Macaca mulatta: one gene and its partners. The protein of the gene in region 2 interacts with the protein of the main gene of each other region in a pairwise test. Links are inferred from orthologs where the notes say so. Each region holds a gene or a part of one and is shown on either strand. Other genes may lie near its edges.

The links.
Region 1: the proteins of ATF4 (region 2) and CCDC106 interact in binary tests that used the Homo sapiens proteins (3 or more experiments, as listed by UniProt). The link is inferred for Macaca mulatta from reciprocal best matches to the Homo sapiens genes ATF4 and CCDC106.
Region 3: the proteins of ATF4 (region 2) and NFE2L2 interact in binary tests that used the Homo sapiens proteins (3 or more experiments, as listed by UniProt). The link is inferred for Macaca mulatta from reciprocal best matches to the Homo sapiens genes ATF4 and NFE2L2.

The regions. Positions count from the first base shown.
Region 1 is NC_133424.1:67,996,790-68,002,862, reverse strand, and holds the start of CCDC106 (coiled-coil domain-containing protein 106), read right to left. Parts: upstream 4,248-6,073; 5' UTR 3,995-4,247; exon of another isoform or gene 3,339-3,994; 5' UTR 3,238-3,338; coding exon 3,207-3,237; intron 3,077-3,206; coding exon 2,972-3,076; intron 2,876-2,971; coding exon 2,699-2,875; intron 1,005-2,698; coding exon 792-1,004; intron 122-791; coding exon 1-121. UniProt on the Homo sapiens protein: Promotes the degradation of p53/TP53 protein and inhibits its transactivity.
Region 2 is NC_133415.1:12,020,445-12,026,323, forward strand, and holds ATF4 (cyclic AMP-dependent transcription factor ATF-4), read right to left. Parts: upstream 3,327-5,879; 5' UTR 2,653-3,326; coding exon 2,427-2,652; intron 2,326-2,426; coding exon 1,496-2,325; 3' UTR 1,413-1,495; downstream 1-1,412. UniProt on the Homo sapiens protein: Transcription factor that binds the cAMP response element (CRE) (consensus: 5'-GTGACGT[AC][AG]-3') and displays two biological functions, as regulator of metabolic and redox processes under normal cellular conditions, and as master transcription factor during integrated stress response (ISR).
Region 3 is NC_133417.1:82,176,579-82,182,805, forward strand, and holds the start of NFE2L2 (nuclear factor erythroid 2-related factor 2), read right to left. Parts: upstream 3,635-6,227; 5' UTR 3,500-3,634; intron 1,888-3,499; exon of another isoform or gene 1,552-1,887; intron 1-1,551.

The DNA of each region.
Region 1 (6,073 bases), on a different chromosome or scaffold from region 2:
GTCAGCGCCACGGTGTTCCTGTCCACGCGGTGGTGCTCGAAGGCCCGCGACATGCTCTTGAGCTTCTGGAAGGTGCCCAGGATCTTCTTGTACCGGCAGAGGACCCCGTCGGCGTCCTTCACTGCGGGGCGGAGGCGGGGACACGGAAGTGAGGAGCAGGGGCCAAGACCGAGGGGGCGGACACGGGAAGGGAAACGGCCATGGGAAGGAAGGATCCCGGCGAGCAGAGGCACGGGCGGTGCAGGAGGATACGGAGAACAGGGAAGGGAGGGGCGGAGAGGAGGGGAAGAAGCGCAGCCAGTACTTGGACCAGTGGGAAATGGGAAGAGGCAGGCCCAGGAAGGGGGGTGAGGAGAGAACATGAGCCGAGAGGCCGGGTTCAACCAACGCGGTCCCAGCAACAACACCCCCCCCCCCCGCCCGCCTCTCCACCACGCCCAGCCATCACCCTCACCTCCCTGCCTCAGGTGAATTCACTTATTCAAGCCTCACCCGCCCCGAGGTAGGTCCTACTGCGCACCTCCTTCTTACCGATGAAGGTTAAGGAGGTGCCCAAGGTGGCCCTGCCCTCGAGGGTTCACCAAAACTTAAAGTAGACCCAGGACAGGCCAGGTGCTATGGCTCACGCCTTGTAATCCCAGGATTACAAGGGAGGAGGGAGAGACAGAACCCGGTGGGTCTTTCTCCAGCAAAGCTGGAGGGGCTTGGAGAGAAAGGAGGGCCTCTGGGAAGGACACACAGCAATTCAGCAGCCCAGGCCCCTCAGCGCCCGCGCCATGCACCTCACCCACCTCGCTGCCTCTCCCGGGCCTTGGGCTTCCCAAAGCGCCTCCGACTAGCACCTCCCCTCTGCTTCTGCCGCCTCCTCTCGCTGGCGCTGCCTTCTTCGGAGGCTCCACTGAGGGAGGAGGCTGCTGACTCAGGGTCCGAGGCCTCGCCCCCAGCCCCACCCCGGCTGTCCCCCTCCATCCGCCTGGGCCCAGGCTTCATCCGGCAGTGGTCCTCTGGGGAGAGAGACACACACGTGAACTATGGGACCAGACATCCCATCACAGGTCCTGGGACTGAGAGAGGCTGCAGTCCCCAGTACTGGATCCCCCAACCTGGGCTGGTCCCCTAAAGAAACGGACAGGGAGGACAGTAGAGATGCTGGTGGCTGAGTAGAGCCTGCTGGGGTCTGTGGGAGGTAGTAATGGGTGCAGCATTTTCTCAGAGGCTTGGGTTGGCAAGAGGTCTTGGGGAGGCAGCCGACCAGGGACCTCAGGACCCCTGTGAGTATATGCGGTTCCCACAGGGGAGGGAGAGATTTCTGGGGACTGGGTGGGACCTCCGGAGAGTGGCCTCTGTAAACCCAGGAGGCAGGCCAGGCCTTGGCTGGAGTCGGGGGGTCAGACCCTGAGAGAAATCAGGGGTCCTGGGTCCAGCAGGATGAGTTCCACCTCCATCTAGACAGAGGGAGCTGGCTGGCGGAGGCCCAGACACAGGGTCCTCTAGAAGGCGGCTTAGGAGAGGGGTCTGGTGCCAGGGTCCCCACTGGGAAAGTGCCGAGGCCGCAGGACCAAACCATCTGTGCAAAGGAGTCAGTCACCCAGCATGGAGCCATCAGTGGGAGGAGACAGTGGCAGGCAAGGGCAGTCAGAGGCGGTTTGTTCCAGAGCAGAGGGAAGGCCAGATCCCCAGATGCTGGGTTCCCAGTAACAGACACCACGAGACCATAGGCCCCTTGCCCAAGTTTTTGAGGGAAAAGGTTGAATTCACAAAGAGAGATGTGGGAGTTTTTGAGGGGTCTTCTCAGCCAAGGAGCTAGCAAGGCCGAGCTGAGGGTAGGTGGGGTAAAGTGTGGGTTCTCCAGGACATGGGCTGTCTGGCAAAGGGCCTGACCATCTGGGGAAGAGGATGCGGCTGGGGTCCAAAATGTGTTAAGCAGGACACAGGGTCCCACCAGTCAAGAGAAGATGCTAGCTGTGAACTGGCTGGGGCTGGGGGCTGCTATGGGAGCTCTCCCGGCTGCTTCTGGCCATGAATTATAGCAGAGCAAGGTATGTGGGCGGGGACTGCCCAGGAACCTGGGGCAGGGTTTGAGGAACAGCACCTGCTGGGGTCCCCACCCAAAAAGGCCCACACAGGAAGAGCCTTAATGTCTTTCATGAGGAAGGAGAACTCATTAACCAAGGATGGGACAGGGTGGGTGGGAAGATGGCCCCTGGTGTCACACGGGGACGGGGGGGGACAGGAGGAGGCTGGATGGCTGGACTCTTGGATCTTGGAGAAGACAGGGCCAGGAAGAGGATCAGGGGCCCCCTGAGGAAACCCAAAGGACTAGGGTGGGCCTCTCGGCCAAAGAGATGAAGGAAGGTCCCCCTAGGAGTCAGAAGAGAGGGACTCTCAGGTTCCAGGGTCCTGAAGTCACCATAGGCCAAGGAAGCAGATGGCAGGGCACTGGAGGCTGATGGGATTTGGGGAGCTGAAGGAAAAAGCAGGAGGACAGGCCCCAGTAGACAGTTCATGGGGATGAGGTCCTGGACATCAAGTGAAGAGGAAGCTGGGCCTGGGGGCCCAAAACAGGCAGGGGACTAGCAGAGAGGGCCAACATGGCAGGTCCCACCCAGCCAGGCAAACTGTGGAGCCTCGAGTCTGGGTGAGCGGGTACCCAGTAGCGGGACAGGGAGGCAGGTGGATCAGAGCACCCCACACATACCTGCCTCCATCCGAGCAGAAGAGATGAATTTGTCCAGCTGGCACCGCAGGAAGTCCCTCTCTTCCTCCAGGTCCTCGATGCGCTTCTGCAGCCAGGAGTTCCTCTCCAGAGCCATGTGCAGCTGGGCCTTGACGCTGTTCATCAAAGCCAGGGCGGGGGACGCAGCCTCCGGAGGCTCTAGGGACACAGCGAGGGTGGGGGGACCAGGTCACACCCTGGGACTCGGCCTGGCTTCCCAGCTGACTCCAGTCCCTCCACGCCCCCTCGGCTCACCCTCGAAGTTTCCCCGAGAGGGGCTCAGACTGTAAAAGATCTGTGAGTCTAGGTGGGGCGCCTCGTCGAAGGGGATGGAGATCTCGAAGGTCTCATCGTCCTTCACTGGAGAGGAGAGGCCCCGGGTCACCCCAGAGAAGTCCCGGGCCCCTCAGACCACCCCCCAACCACGGCAGCCTGGAGCCGACCGACCGCACCGGGACCCAGGGTAGGGAAGGGGACCCAGCTTCCTCACTTGTTCGCCTCCGGCTGCTCCGGTCATTCATGGCGTGGCTTCCTGCGGACCCCAGCAGCCGAGGGCCTCAGGGGCACTGGACAGAAACAGCAGCCACAAATGGAGGGACGCGGATGGACTCGAGGGTCCATCCTGGGGGAGGTGAAGTGAGACAGGAAGGACCTTCTGGCCTGGATCCCTGGTCTGAGGGAGGAGGGAGCCCAGACCCCAGGACTGAGGCAAAACACGCCTGGGCTTCAAACTCCTGGGTTCCCAGAGTCAGGGACAGGGGGCCCAGCCACCGAGGTCCTAGGGGAGAAGTGAGCTGGGGACGTGGGCTCCTGGGTATCGAAGGAAAAGGAAGCTGAAGCCCTAAATTGCTGGGTGCCCCAAGGGGTCGCCTGACAGGGACACCTGGCCTGAAGGGGAAGGACTCTCATCGCGGGCCACCGCCAGGCCTAAGGAAGAGGCAGGTGCAGAGGGAAACTGCCCCAACTTCCCAGGGTAGGAGGAGGTCCAGCCCGTGCGCGCTGCCTCCCCTACCTCCGGGGCCCCACACCCCTCCCCCGCACTCGCGTGGGCGTGCGGACCCTCCCCCGGTGGTGGGGGCTGGGCGCGTGCGCAGTACGGGGAAAGGTCACGCGTGGGGATGCGCCGCCCCCGCCCTTTGTCCCGGGGGTGGGAGGGGGAGCAGTCGTGGAAAGATCCCAGCGGGGGAATGCATCAGGGCGGGGGTGCAAATACGGTCACCATCCCCCGCCCGCGGGTGCCCGGGGTCCGAGGGGCCGAGGCCCCCCGCGCTCACCCACCCGCGCGCGGAATCCGACTCGGGGACCGACGGCGGCGGCGCCCATGCCCGGCGCCGGGGAGCGTCTGCAAAGTGTCACGGGAAGCCGAGGGAAGCGCCCACCCACCCGCGAACAGGCGGGGCGGCAGGGGAGCGAGTCGTGGAACTGAGCGACGGAACGGGTACGGACGCGGGGATTCGCCCAGTCGGGCCAGACTAGCGCCCCTCGTTGGAGAGTCCCCTGGTCCAGGTGAGGCCCGCCGTTTGCGGCAGAAGCAGAGGGTCTACACTTGCGCGATAGCCCCTTACGGCACTCCCCCGCCCTCCCCGAAGCTCAGGCAGGGAACGTCAAGAAATTCCCATTCTGGAGAGCTGGCGAGCCTCCGGGGGTTCCCGGGTTGGGTGGCGGTGGGCCCAGTGGGCCCAGGAGAAGGCAGGAGTGTGTGAGACACCGGGAAAGTTGGAGCGAAAGGAGAATCTACTTTTAACGATCTCAGGAACTAGCCAGCGCAGACCCCCCAGAGCTCCCCCACCTCCTACAGCCAGACCCCAAGGTTCTCAGGGATGTGGGGGCCAAAATGGGGGGAGTTACCCCTCTCCAGAAAAACGAGGGGCAGGAACACGCCACCACCCCCCCATGTTGGTAATTAAGAGCTGGCTTTGGAACAGAGCTAGATTCCAGTCCTGACTGTTCCTGCTCCTCCCCAGCCTGTTAACTCACCTGTAAAATGGGGAAATTACAGGCCCCTCTACATTTCTTGTGAGGACACAGTGATGGGACACACAGCTCAGCCCAGCACCTGGCCATAGTCAGGGCTTGAGAGAGGAGCGTTGCTGGTATTATTTGAGGTCAGATGGTGGGGTATGATCGCAACCTCTGGGAGGCTCTTTCCTTTCCCACTCTGGGGAGTACGAACGGAAGATTTGTTCTTCCTCCCAAAAAAAAGAGGTCGGAAGAGCAAATGAGGCCTAGCACAGTGCCTGGCACAGACAGGCAAGAAAAATGAATTAATAAGCAGATGTTTATTTAGCTTCAGGCTCAGCTCCACCTGCCTCTCCTGTTCACCAGAAGCATCCATGCTCTGGACTCTGGCCAGCCCTTAGGAGAGCAAGGTCTTAACCCGATGGAGGGAGAATCTAAACGTCTGCACCGCCTGCAAAGCTGTACCCATGATCCTCCCCTCCCCACTTCACTTTACAAATAAACTGCAGCCTGGTCCAGAAATTCCAGGGGGAGCCACCTGCCCTAGATTAGTCTTTTCCAAACTATAGGTTCATGGGTGGAGAATTCAATAGAATAGGATGAAATCAGCAGTTTAAAAAAATATGTAGCTGGGCGTGGTGGTGCGTGCCTGTAATCCCAGCTACTCAGGAGGCTGAGGCAGGAGAATCGCTTGAACCAGGGAGGTGGAGGTTGCAGTGAGTGGAGATTGCACCACTGCTCCAGCCTGGGCGACACTGCGAGACTCCATCTCAAATAATAATAGCTAATGAAAAAAAATCTACACATACTAAAGCTAACTATGGTAAAGAAACTTTTGTTTCCAGGCCCAGGGTCCTGAGGGAGGCTGAGGTGTGTGGATCACCTGAGGTCAGGAGTTCGAGACCAGCCTGGCCAACGTAGTGAAACCCATCTCTACTAAAGGTACAAAATTAGCCGGGCATGGTGGCACATGCTTGTAACCCTAATTACTTGGGGGGCTGAAGCAGGAGAATCGCTTGAACCCAGGATGTAAAGGCTGCAGTGAGCCAAGATCTTGCCATTACACTCTAGCCTGGGTGACAAGAGCGAAACTCCATCTAAAAAAAAAAAAAAAAAAAAGGGAAGGAAACTTGGTTCACATATATTTTGCATATCTGTGTACTCTATTACCATATAAAATGTGTTTGTGATAGGAGGTTGTGGTTTTAAAATTGTTTCAGCTTAAAAACATTCTTCCCAGATGACCCAGGTGTTCAGGAGCTGAGGAGGGGATAACCCCAAGGCAGGCCAACCTTCCCATTCCCCAGCCAGGCAAGCTGAGGTCTCCCTGCTGCAAGGCAGCCACCAAAGAGGGTCTGAGATGCCGTCTCTAAAAACAAACCTCGAGTGCTCAGGGTG
Region 2 (5,879 bases):
TTGCAGTGAGCCAAGATTGCACCACTGCACTCCAGCCTGGGGAATAGGCTCAATCTCTAAAAAGAAAAAAAAAAAAAAAAAAAAAAAAAAGGCCAGGCGCGGTGGCTCATGCTTGTAATCCTAGCACTTTGGGGAGGCCAAGGTGGGTGGATCAGGAAGTCAGGAGTTCGAGACTAGCCTGGCCAACATGGTGAAACCCCGTCTCTACTAAAAATACAAAAATTAGCTGGGCATGGTGGCGAGCACCTGTAATCCCAGCTACTCGGGAGGCTGAGGCATGAGAATCGTTTGAATCCAGGAGGTGGAGGTTGTGGTGAGCCGAGATTGCACCATTGCATTCCAGCCTGGTCAACAGGGAGAGACCCTGTCTCAAAAAAAAAAAAAAAAAAAAAAAAAAAAAAAATCCTCCTGAGTGTGGCGTCTGCCTCCTGGGTGTGCTTCGGGGACGGGGTGAACACACGTACTGTGCTCAGTTACAGCAGTGCCTGGGCGCACTCACCCTCACTGTCCTCCCAGCCATTCCCCGGGCACACCCAGTCTACACCACCTTCCACAGAAGGAAAACTGTGATCCTGAAGGACACAAGAGGAAAGACAGACCTACCCAGGATACGCTGATCCTTGCATTCAAGCACTCATCCGCAACACAAAATCAAGCACTCATCCGCAACACAAAAGACATCGCCTGCCTGGAAAGGCGAGGTCTCCCCGCCAGCTTGCCAGGAAGAAGCTGCGGTGAGGAGGCGTGGTTTCTAGGCGCTGATCCATCCTAGCATGATGCCAGGCCTTCTATTTAGGTAGCAACAGGCACAACAGCCTTCACAGGAACTGTAGCCTTTGTGCCCAGCTCTAGCCAGAACCTGTGCAGGATGTCATCCTTCCACCCCATAAGGAGAAACGGAGGCCAACCCTCAGCTCCTGTCCTGCTTCAGCATCAATTCCGAAAAGGAGCCATTTCTTTCTTCAGGAACACGTTTCTACAGAACTCAGGGTAACAAGTGAAAACTAATCTTGTGTGCTTATCTCAAGGACTGTGCAAGCTTATCCAGGGTTTCAGGCGACAGCTGTTGGCATGAAGCCCTCTTGAATAAATAGGTAAGAGGCCCAGGCTGTCCCTCCCTCCCAACCTCTCAGAGAGCTCCAGCCTCCTCCCTACACAACCAGCGAACTCACCTCTGGGTAAAGGACCCAACTTGCTACAGTTGGCCAACTATCCGGCTGTATGGCCCCATGAGTCATCAGACATCGTGGCTTACACCTAGCAGGGCGAGCAGTTCCCACTCTGGGTACCCATCTTCAGTCCTGGACTGCCCTCCTCCCCAGATCTCACAAGGAATGTTATAACCAGTTTGGGATGCGTGGTTGGCGCCTCACTCGGCTAATTTGCCAGAAAAGGAATTCACACAAGTACTTTCCCTACAAAATAATTTATTCCAACACACAGCAACAGCAGAGACTCTATGTACAAGCACACTGACGCTCCTGACTACCCTCAACTAGGGGACCCTTTTCTTCCCCCTTGCCTTGCGGACCTCTTCTATCAAATCTTTCAGGTACTGGATCTCCTTGGCCAGGGAATCCGCCCTCTCTTTTAAAGCCTCATTCTTCTTTTCCAGCTCTTTGCACTCGCCAGTGAGGGCCTCCTGCTCCGCCCTCTTCTTCTGGCGGTACCTAGTGGCTGCTGTCTTGTTTTGCTCCATTTTTTTCAGCTTCTTATCCAGTTTCTCACCCTTTACTTTTGCTTCTACCATCTTCTCTCCAGGAGGGTCGTAAGGTTTGGGGCGGGCAGAGCCACAGAGAACACCTGGAGATGGGAGGCTCCTATTTGGAGAGCCCCTGGTAGACGGGCTATGCTGAGGAGAGCCCAGATAGGACTCCGGGCTCATACAGATGCCACTATCATTATCTGAGGGGGTGTCTTCCTCCTTTATGCACGGAGGGATCATGGCAACATAAGCAGTGGCATCTGGCTTCCTATCTCCTTCAGTGATATCCACTTCACTGCCCAGCTCTAAACTAAAGGAATGATCTGGAGTGGAGGACAGGACCCCTGGGGAAAGGGGAAGAGGTTGCAAGAAGGTGAAGGGGGCAACCTGGTCGGGTTTTGTTAAACTTTCTGGGAGATGGCCAATTGGGTTCACCGTCTGTGGGGGCTCCTTGTTAGTCTCCTGGACTAGGGGGGCAAAGAGATCACACGTGTCATCCAACGTGGTCAAAAGGTCATCTGGCATGGTTTCCAGGTCATCTATACCCAACAGGGCATCAAAGTCGAACTCCTTCAAATCCATTTTCTCCAACATCCAATCTGTCCCGGAGAAGGCATCCTCTGCAAAAGATTTGAATGACAGGGCCAAGTGAGTCAGATACAAAGATAACAGGCCCCTAACCCTAGATCCCACCCAGACGATGTGGTGGTGGCCCACTCACCCTTGCCGTTGTTGGAGGGACTGACCAACCCATCCACAGCCAGCCATTCGGAGGAGCCCGCCTTAGCCTTGTCGCTGGAGAACCCATGAGGTTTGAAGTGCTTGGCCACCTCCAGGTAGTCATCTAAGAGACCTAGGCTTTCTTCAGCCCCCAAACCCGACTGGTCGAAGGGGGACATCAAGTCCCCCACCAACACCTCGCTGCTCAGGAAGCTCATTTCGGTCATGTTGCGGTGCTTTGCTGGAATCGAGGAATGTGCTTAATTCGAAGATGTCTTTGTCGGTTACAGCAACGCTGCTGCTGAATGCCGTGAGAAGCCTGAATGGGAATCAGAAGCCAACTCCCATTAGAGGTTAGCTGGTCTGAGAATTTCATCTTTCCACTTACGAGGCGGGACTTCTCTAGTCCAGCCATCTATAGAGTCGGCAACGGGGCAGTTGCATCCGCCCCTCCCTGCTGCGGCTCAGGTTCCACAAAATGGACGCTCACGGAGACCAGGCGATTCTTCCACCGGCCACCAAGAGGAAGGCGCTCCGTCCCCGCGTCCAAATAAGGCCAGGGCGGCCGCGCCCCGCCCACCGCCCGCCCTTGACTCACGCCCGCGGCGCCGCCCTGCCGCCGCCATCTTGGTTCTTGCCACGTTTCGCGGGGGGGAAAGCCGAGACCCCTGGGACCCTTGGGGGACTCGGGGTCCGAGGGCGGCAGGGCCCCTGTGGAAGCAGTCCTGGCACCAGAATGCGCCTTCCCGATCCCGGGCACGCGAGCGTCTCGGGGACACCCAAGCAAAGACCACGCGTCCCGGGCGCTCGTAAAATCGCTTCCTCCTTGGCGGCACCGCCCCGGCCCCAGGCCGCACCCCACCAACCCAAATCCTGCGCCGGCCCAGGGAGCACAGCTGGACGACCCGCCCTGGTACTCACGCCATGGCTTAAGCCGCTGGGGGGGGTGCCGCTGCAGAGCCTGGTGCTGCTGCCGCCGCTGCAAAGGCCAATGCTGCCGCAGGCACTGCTGCCCCTAATACGCCATGGTGGCCGTGGACCCTGCGGGCGGGGAGGAGGGAAGGCGCACACGTGCAAACCAAACTACATTTGTGGGCGGACGAAGTAGAAATGGCCGCAGCAGCCGCCCGCCGGCCCTTTATAGACTTCGTCTCTAAGGGGACGCAGCACCGACGCATCCTTCCGCCACGGCCACGTGACCATCTCCTCCCGCCCGCTCGTTTCCCTCCCTTTGACGCCCCAACCGTTTATGCCCAGCGCGTAGCTGTGACGAGAAAAGGTGTTTGTTCTTATGACCTCACGAAACGAGAGAGGTGCACTACTTTACTAGACTTCTATGATCAGAGTCCGTTCTTTCCTTCGCCGCCGGAGCGCGGAGTGATCTCGCAGACACGCCTCGCTTCCGGTGTCGGCGCGGTGGGCGGGGAGAGGTCGTTTTCCGGCGGAGAGTTTTTATTGTGAAGGCCGAGGAAGCCAGGTTATCGCGCGAGGTGCTGGCGAAGAGCGCGCGTCAAGTTGATTGGCCCAGGCACGGTGAGTCATATATACCTCGAGCTCTTATTGGCTCAGGGCCCCAGGTGGGCGGCTGCTGGGAGAGGGATCACGGAGTCCGCGTGGTAAGGGTCGGGGTCTCGGGTCTCTGCCAGGCCTCAGGCCGGCCAGCCTGCTGGCCAGCTACAATCGCACTGGCTCCTGCCCCCAGGAGACCTTAGCCTAGCGCACCCCATAGTGGCCTCAGGGCCCAGCCCCTGCGGTCGGGTCCCGCCGCCCTCAGTGGAGGTCCGCCACTGGCGGCCCCGCCGCCACTCCCAGCCTGCGCGTCCTTCGGTTGCGGGGGCTGATTTCTGGCCTGCGGAAACCGGGGGGTTACCTGTTCCAAGCCTGAGTTTTCCAGAGACGCCATTCATAGCCGATACGGTGTTGCTGCCCCCGGGAGGTTGAAGGGGTCTCGAGAGGGCGCCTCGGGCCTGCCCACCTACACCCAAAGGCCAGCTGAGTCTGCATGGCTCCGTCTAAACTCTGGAAAGGAGCCGGGAAGACGCGCCGTCCTGTCTCCCAACCTGGGTTTTTACAATTCTCATCCGGCTCAAGTGCGAGGCTGCCACAGAATAGCATCATAGGGGAACTTCTGGTGTCCGAAGATTGCGTTCCCCTAAGAACAGAATTTTCTTCGCTGCCATCTACCTGGGGTAGTTTCGATTCACTCCGGGTTCTGAACTCCCCGGCCTAACCCGCTTTTCGGTGGTCATGCCCATGGCCCTGGGAGGAGAGGCGCTTGGGAACCCACGGCCACGTGCTCGGGGTTGTGCGTTGGGAAGGGGGGGTAGTCTGTTTTAATACAGGAAACCTCCGCATCGTCCTCAGCCCCCTCCAGTCAGGCCCTGTGAAGGTAGAAACTGAGTTTCCGCCTCCATTTCACCGGGCCACACAAGTATTTCTATGATCGCTGTGATACCAAACAACCAGGGAAGCACTGCTCTAAATAACCACAGGCCATCTGCTGCGCTCATTCAACCTCGCTCACAAGTCCTTTCCAATGGTAAACCGAGGCCCAATGGGATGAAGCTTCTTGCTCAAAGTCGCACAGCTCCCAGTGGAGGGAGTATAGGGTAGGAGTTAGAAGACAAATTTTGGGGAGCTCACCCAAAAGAATCCTGGCTGGGACATTTTGGCTAAGTGACTTATCCTCTTTGAGCCTCGGTTTCCTCATTTGTAAAATGAGACTACTGATGAGTATCCTTGCCCCATGAAGTGAAGTCATACATGTAAAGCACTTAGCATAGCGCCTGGTACATGTAAGCACCCAATAATAGTTGCTATTGCTGCTACCCTTCATAGAACTCAGGTCACCTGACCCTGACCTGTGCTACTCTCCACATCCTCCTGCTGCCTCAGAGGACTCTTAACTATTATTTAATGAGATGAAACCAACAACTTTAAAACTTGTATACAGGTATACACAAGGCATACCGGATGCTGGAATAAAAGTATGGTTTTTCTTTCTCTTTGGGGAATCATGAGAGTTGAGATATACAGAATTGGTGCCAGGAGCAGTGGCTCCAGCCTGTAGTCCCACCTACTCAGGCAGAGGTGGGAGGATTGCTTGAGCCCAGGAATTCCAAGCTGCAGTGAGCTGTAATCACAACACTGCAACTCAGCCTGGGCAACAGGGCAAGACCCTGTCTTAATAATAATAAATACAGGAGTTGTCTAGCCTTTCCATGCAGAGGCAGTAAGAATCCCTGAGCCATTAGCCATGTCTTCCAAAGGCCGAACTAGGGACCCACAGGACATGTTCTCCTTTTGCTATAGACAGTACCTCCTGACAGATGATGGTGCAAATGGTTGAGTATTAAAGTAACACTGCCCCAGTTTTGACACTGAAAAGGTCATGAAAGAATGACTCTCATGGCAGCCTGTCCCATCCATTCTTTTATAGAGACCTAGCTCAAAC
Region 3 (6,227 bases), on a different chromosome or scaffold from region 2:
TGTTCAACAGTCTTGTTTTCATGTCTGGGGTATAGTCTGGTATAAGAAAGCCATATATATTTCTCCAACAGTTTCTGAATGTTAATATTTAATATTATATACTTGAACATATTTTTGCTTTCATTTACAGAAAACATACCATTAGCAATTGAATAAATCTTGGCCTATACCTTAAAGCCCTTTTAATAAATGTTTGTTGGTGCTTATTTAAAAGCAGGTAGCAGTGAAATTTCAATAGCTCCTAGAAATTAAATGATCAAAAAAATAAACTCTGTTCTCTATTTATGGCAAACTTACAATGAATAAACATTTCTACAGTCAGAGATGAAGACAAGCAGGTTAAAAATGACATCTAGTAAACTTGTCCTCCTCTACCCTGGTGTGCAACATATTTCAGTCAACTTTCAGAAAGTGGCTGGACCAAGCACTTAAATGCCCTAAGGCTGACCTGGACTAACTTTTAGGCAAATCATCCATCAGATCCTATAAGTCCTGCAGCACACTTAATTCAGACAAATAAGACAATAATTCCAAAAACAACTTGTTTAACAATAAGGACTAAGAAAGTGTTTAATTTTGAGATGTACTATTCTCAAAGACCCAAGTTAGCTTCAACTAGATAAGACTTGAGCCCTTATGCTTGCTATAGTTCAAAAGTGCCAAAACATGAGATTAGGGTTGAATTTGCGCCATCAGGTTTCTGCTAGCTGTTTTCAACTCAAATTTTCCCCATTCTGCTCTTTCCTTCAACCTGGTTTAACCCTGTCCGTCACAGTCTTCACCATATTCTTACTACCAAACTTATTTTTGAGCACTACTTCAAAACAAAAAGCGCCAATGGAACAGAAGAAATGTACCAACTAGCAAGGCGAACAAAGGCAAAGACTCCAGTAGCAAAGAGATTTAATTAAGAACAAAGGGAAACAGTTCCTGAAAACTGTGAGGCAGAATCTTAGACATTGCCAAGACCCCAGGAATTTAAAAAACTTATTATATTAAGAAACAGGCTGGCGCAGTGGTTCACACCTGTAATCCCAACACTTTGGGAGGCCGCGGCGGGTGGATCACCTGAGGTCAGGAGTTCGAGACCAGCCCAGCCTGGCCAACATGGTGAAACCCCATCTCTACGAAAAATACAAAAAATTATCCGGGAGGTGAGTGCCTATAATCCCAGCTACTCTGGAGGCTGAAGCAGTAGAATCACTTGAACCCGGGAAGTGGAGGTTGCAGTGAGCCAAGATTAGGCCACTGCATTCCAGCCTGGGCAACAGAACAAGATTCCATCTCAAAAACAAAACAAAACAAAACAAAACAAAAAAACAGTCCTGCCTCTCTAAATTGAACCCACCGAGGCTTCTGTGTCTTCCTGAAAAGGACCACAGTGGGTAATCCCATTGATGGGTTGTATTCACTCTCCCAGCATTTAACAAGGTCCACCTCCCCCAGTCATACAGTGATTAAGTGTCTTGCTAAATGGAAAAGCTGCAAACATCAATCTTTTACATTCTAGCCTCTCCTTCCCCCAGAATAGGCAAATCTCAACTTACTCACCTTTTGAAGTGTGAGTTTTTCTTCCTATTTAAAGTTTAAGGAGTTTTGGTAGTCTGGAAGTGGTGATTAGGAGCCCCCAGGAGTCAAACCTGTTTGAATGCTACCTTGGCCACTCAATAGTTTGGTCACCTTAGCAGGTCTTGGCCTTTCTCTGTGCCTCTTTCCTAACCTAATGCCTGATCTAACTATTATCTCTGGTTTTCCCAACCTGGAAACCAGGGATAATAGTATTTCCCGTGAGGTTACTGTAAAATTATGCATGTGAAGCAATTATGTTTGGACCCAGGGAAGTGCCCAGTAACTTATCTATTATTATCTTAGTGCCAAATTCTTCCTGCATACTGAAAAGATAACCCACGTTCAAGGAACAGTTAAGGAGGAAATACTGACACAAAACCCCCTTTTAATGTCTTCAGTCAGGACAGAGGAAATTCCCAGAAAAAAAAATGTACTTGTTGTGTTCCTTTTTTTCACGCAGCTTTGTTAAACATGATTTATCCTCAATAGAAACAAATCTTAAGAAAAATGATGCATTTGGCTTTCAACTTTTCCTGGTAATCCTAAAGACAGAGTCGGTTTTCCCCCAACGTTGCTTATAACAACCCAGGGCAAGAAAGAAAGATTTCAAAATGGCCCAAGTTATTTTTAATGCGGAAAAGACTGATGTGAGTTATGCATTTATCCTCCTACATGCTGCTTCCACAACCTCTCAAGAGATTTTTCACATATCTAAAAAGTCAAGTTGGTCTTTGCTTAACATTCATTCAGGAGATGAGAGGCCTGTCCTATTTTTCTTTTGTTTGACTTAAACATAATCTCATCGGTCTATTTCAATATCAGCTTCATCCCTCATCCAGGAAAGTACTTTATCTCTCCAAGACACCCTTGAAAAGAGTAATGGATGTTCCTTCCACCTAATGGGGATACTGAATCTAAGGCTCTCCTTACTGCCCTGTTTATCAACACATCCTCTGCACAGAAGGTGAAAAACTACATCCTACTACCACTTCACACCTGGAGAGTTTTTTTGACAAAAGATCAAGAAAATGTTTGACTCAGTTCAAATCTTTATGGATGACAACAATCTAATATGAATCATAAACGAAATCAATTCTAAATTTTCTTGTTCTTTTTCTGTTTTCAAATATGCAAATCGATATCTGATTACAAAGGCAGAAAAGCAGTTATTTTTATCAAACGTAATTGAAAAATACACACTTAATGCAGTACATATGTTTTATGCATTTTTGTATATGGAATGTTATATTACACAGCAAAGAAAGAAAAATTTAATAGAGGGTTGTAGACAATTCGGGAAATTAGAAAAACCAAAGTTCATTTTTATCATATATCCTTCGGTCAAACAAGCATTCCTATAGATAACTCTTGAACAGCAGCTATTAAATAAATCGTAAAGTACAATTTACTTCTTCCCTAGTTGGAACCAGAAGAATATAATCCCAATCAAGATTGGGGAAAAGTTCAAGACAACTTTAAAGGGGGAAAAAAAGGCACAATTAATACATTGTCTATAACTTAAAACTTTACAATAGATCTTTGGAATTAACCTAAGACTTTACATTTAACAGCATAAACGAATTTACCGTACATCAAGTACACGTTTCCTTGAATTCCAATTTTTTTCCTAAAATTCATTTACAAAAGAAATTAGAAATATAAATATCTACTTTTAAAGTTTCTACAAGGATGAGCTGAAACTTCTTTTCACTTTTATAACAATTTACAGAAATTAGCATGTGTTTTGAAACGCAAGCGTTCCACTCTCTGCCCCTGCAAAAGAGGGTGGACATGTTAAGAAACTGAGGCAAATTCTCAACTGAAAAGGAAAAATATATAAAGTACTCAGGGAAGAAATAACAGCTGAAAGCAAAAAATTATTAACAAACTAAAAGCAATAGAAATTCTAATCTACACTCGCAACTCTTACCCTTGACAGCACAGAAGAGAATCTCCTGTCTTACACATTTTGGAATTGCAATTCTGAAACGCTAAATCCAAAGACAAAGCCGCTCTGGGGAAAATAACAATTGCGCAACAGATCAACAGCTCCAACTTGTCCCTTGGCCCTGGCGCGGCGAGGTTTGCACGCTATAAAGCAGGAAAGGGCCAACCGAGGGCTGCTGTGACGGCCAACAGACCGCTGTCACAGAGGCCAAAGCCACGCGCGCGGTGCGCGCCACCAGGGGGCACCGCGTCCGAACTAGACGCCCCGGGTGCCGCCGACTCCGGCCTCAGAGTCCGCTGCCCTCGCCCGCACTTTCCCGCGGCGTTGCGAGAGGCCAACTCCGGGTGCCCGGGCCCGAACCCCTCCCCGGCCGAGAAAGTGCGCGGGGCCCGGCTCAGCCGCCACACGTCGGGGCTTCTGGGCCCGCTGGGCACTTCAGGCGCTCCTCCCTCGTCCCGGGGTTGAGCTTTCAAGAAAGCTCAAGGCTGCCAGAGAGTGATCCGACAGATGGATGACTTCGCAAAGCAGCGCCCACAGACGGCCCAGCGGTGTGAGCGCGCCGCAGCCCGCACACACGGAGGTCTTGGGGCGCGGCGAAGGGGCTCTGGGTCCCAGCACGAAGGCGACCTCAGTTCCCCCGAGAGTGGCCCCGTGACTAGGCACATTTTTGCCGGCTCTGAGGCGGGGGAGCCGCGCAGCCCCGGAAGGGCCGGGCCGCGCCGGCTCAGACGGCCAGCGTCCGCCCCTCTTGCCCCGCCGCCCGCCGGGCCGCTCAAACTTAGGGGCTCCGAAGCCCAGCTCTGGGGACCGGGGACGCGGCTGGATTCGCCCACCACTGCCCACGCCCGCGGGCTCAGTCCCCAGACCTTCCCGCAACTTCCCACCCGTTCGCCCTCGGGCTCGTGGTCGGTCGGACCACCCGGCCGCGTCCCCGCTGCCCCTCCCCACCCTGCCCCAGCGCAAGCGCGGCGGCTCCAGCCAGCGCTGCGGTCCTGGCTCTGGCCGGACGTGGAGGAAGCCGGCTGCGGCTATCCCTCCCGGGCCGCGGTTCCCTAGCTCCCCCGCCCCCGTCCCGGCACCACCGCAGGGCCCAGAGGGCCGAGGCAGCACCTGCTGGGACGGGAGTCCCGGCGGCGGCAGCTCCAACTCCATCATGCTGAGCTGGGGACCGTGTGTTGGGGCTCCCCGACGGCGGCCCCGTTCCGGCTGCCAAGGCGCGGCGCGGACAGGGCGGCTCTGGTGGCGGCAGCGGCGTCGGTGGCTCCTCCGGGCTCCCCGGCACTCGCTGATCGGCGACACGCCGGCGGGCCCCTGCCCCGCTCCGCCTCCCGCCCCAGAAGGGCGGGGCAAGAGCCTGGGCCCTTCCTTCCCCCGCCGGCCGCGCGGGCTGAGCTTCCGAAAATCCCCCACCCGCGCCTGGGCTGACGCAAGAAGCTCGCGGTCCGGGGGCGGGAAGGGACTGCCAGCTGGGGTCCCAGCAGGCGGGGGATCGAGAGGAGGCCACAGTTAGCGCCCCGGTGCCGGCGTTCAGTTGCCCTCCCCCGCAAATAAGGGCAGCGCTCTAGCCCGCGAGATAAAGAGTTATTTGCGAAGGTCGCTGGAGTTCGGACGCTTTGAAACAGTTTAAACAGTTGGAACAAACACACCCGGAGCCCCGGAAAGGCGTTGGTGTAGGAGCTGCGCCTCCCTGATTTGGAGTTACAGAACCTTGCCCTGCTTTTATCTCACTTTACCGCCCGAGAGTGGCGCCAGCCGGGGTGGGGGGCTAAAGGTTTGGACCCAGGCCGTGCCACTGCCAACTGCCCTCCCGCCCTTGCTCCCCTCCCGGGCTGGGGGCAGTGGGCCCTGCCCAGGGGAGATGTGGACAGCGCCGGGAGCTCGTGTTCGCAGTCACCCTGAACGCTCTCCTCTGAACTCCCACGTGTCTCCGTCAAGGGCAAACGGAGAAGTCCCTTTAGGTCGGAGAGTGGTCAGTATTGCCTACCCAGAGCTGGGAGAAAAACGGGAACCGCAAGAGAACTTCTTCCCACTAAAGCACAGCCACCACGCCACAGATGGCGCCCTTCAACAGTGTGTAATACCACAACATGCTATGATCTTTTAATCTTTACAAATTTCTTTTTCACGTACTCACAAAATAGTACAAATTTTAAAAAGTTACAAAAACGTTTGTATAGTATTGGCTCATTTTATAAAAACATGTGCCCAGAAAAAAATTGAAGGATAGTTACCAATATATTAAATGCTGTGGAATCAATGATTTTTATCTTTTTCCTTGCTACTTCCAAGTATGCTTTAAATCTGCAATGCGTATGTGTTATGTCTTACATTAAAAACAATTATTTAAACATTAATTATTGCCCAGAGAAAACTTCAAGTATTTGAAATCAGGAATATTGTGAAACGGGTTCAAAGAGGATAGATAAATGGTTTGGTTTTGTTTTTTTCTTTCCTCTTACGCATTTACAGTCTTTCTAACTCTTTAACAAGACTGGTTTTCAGTTTCTACCTTCCTGGAATTATTCAGAACCAGGTGAAGTAGATAATACTGGCAGTGGTTTTACTATTTCATTCAAAAACCACACACACACACACACACACCCCTGACTATAGCGATCAACGCCCAAAAAACTGCAGAGCTTACTTTCTCTCTGTTGCATAATTTGACACTCCCAGGATTTATGTGTAAATTTGTATATTCAGATATTCC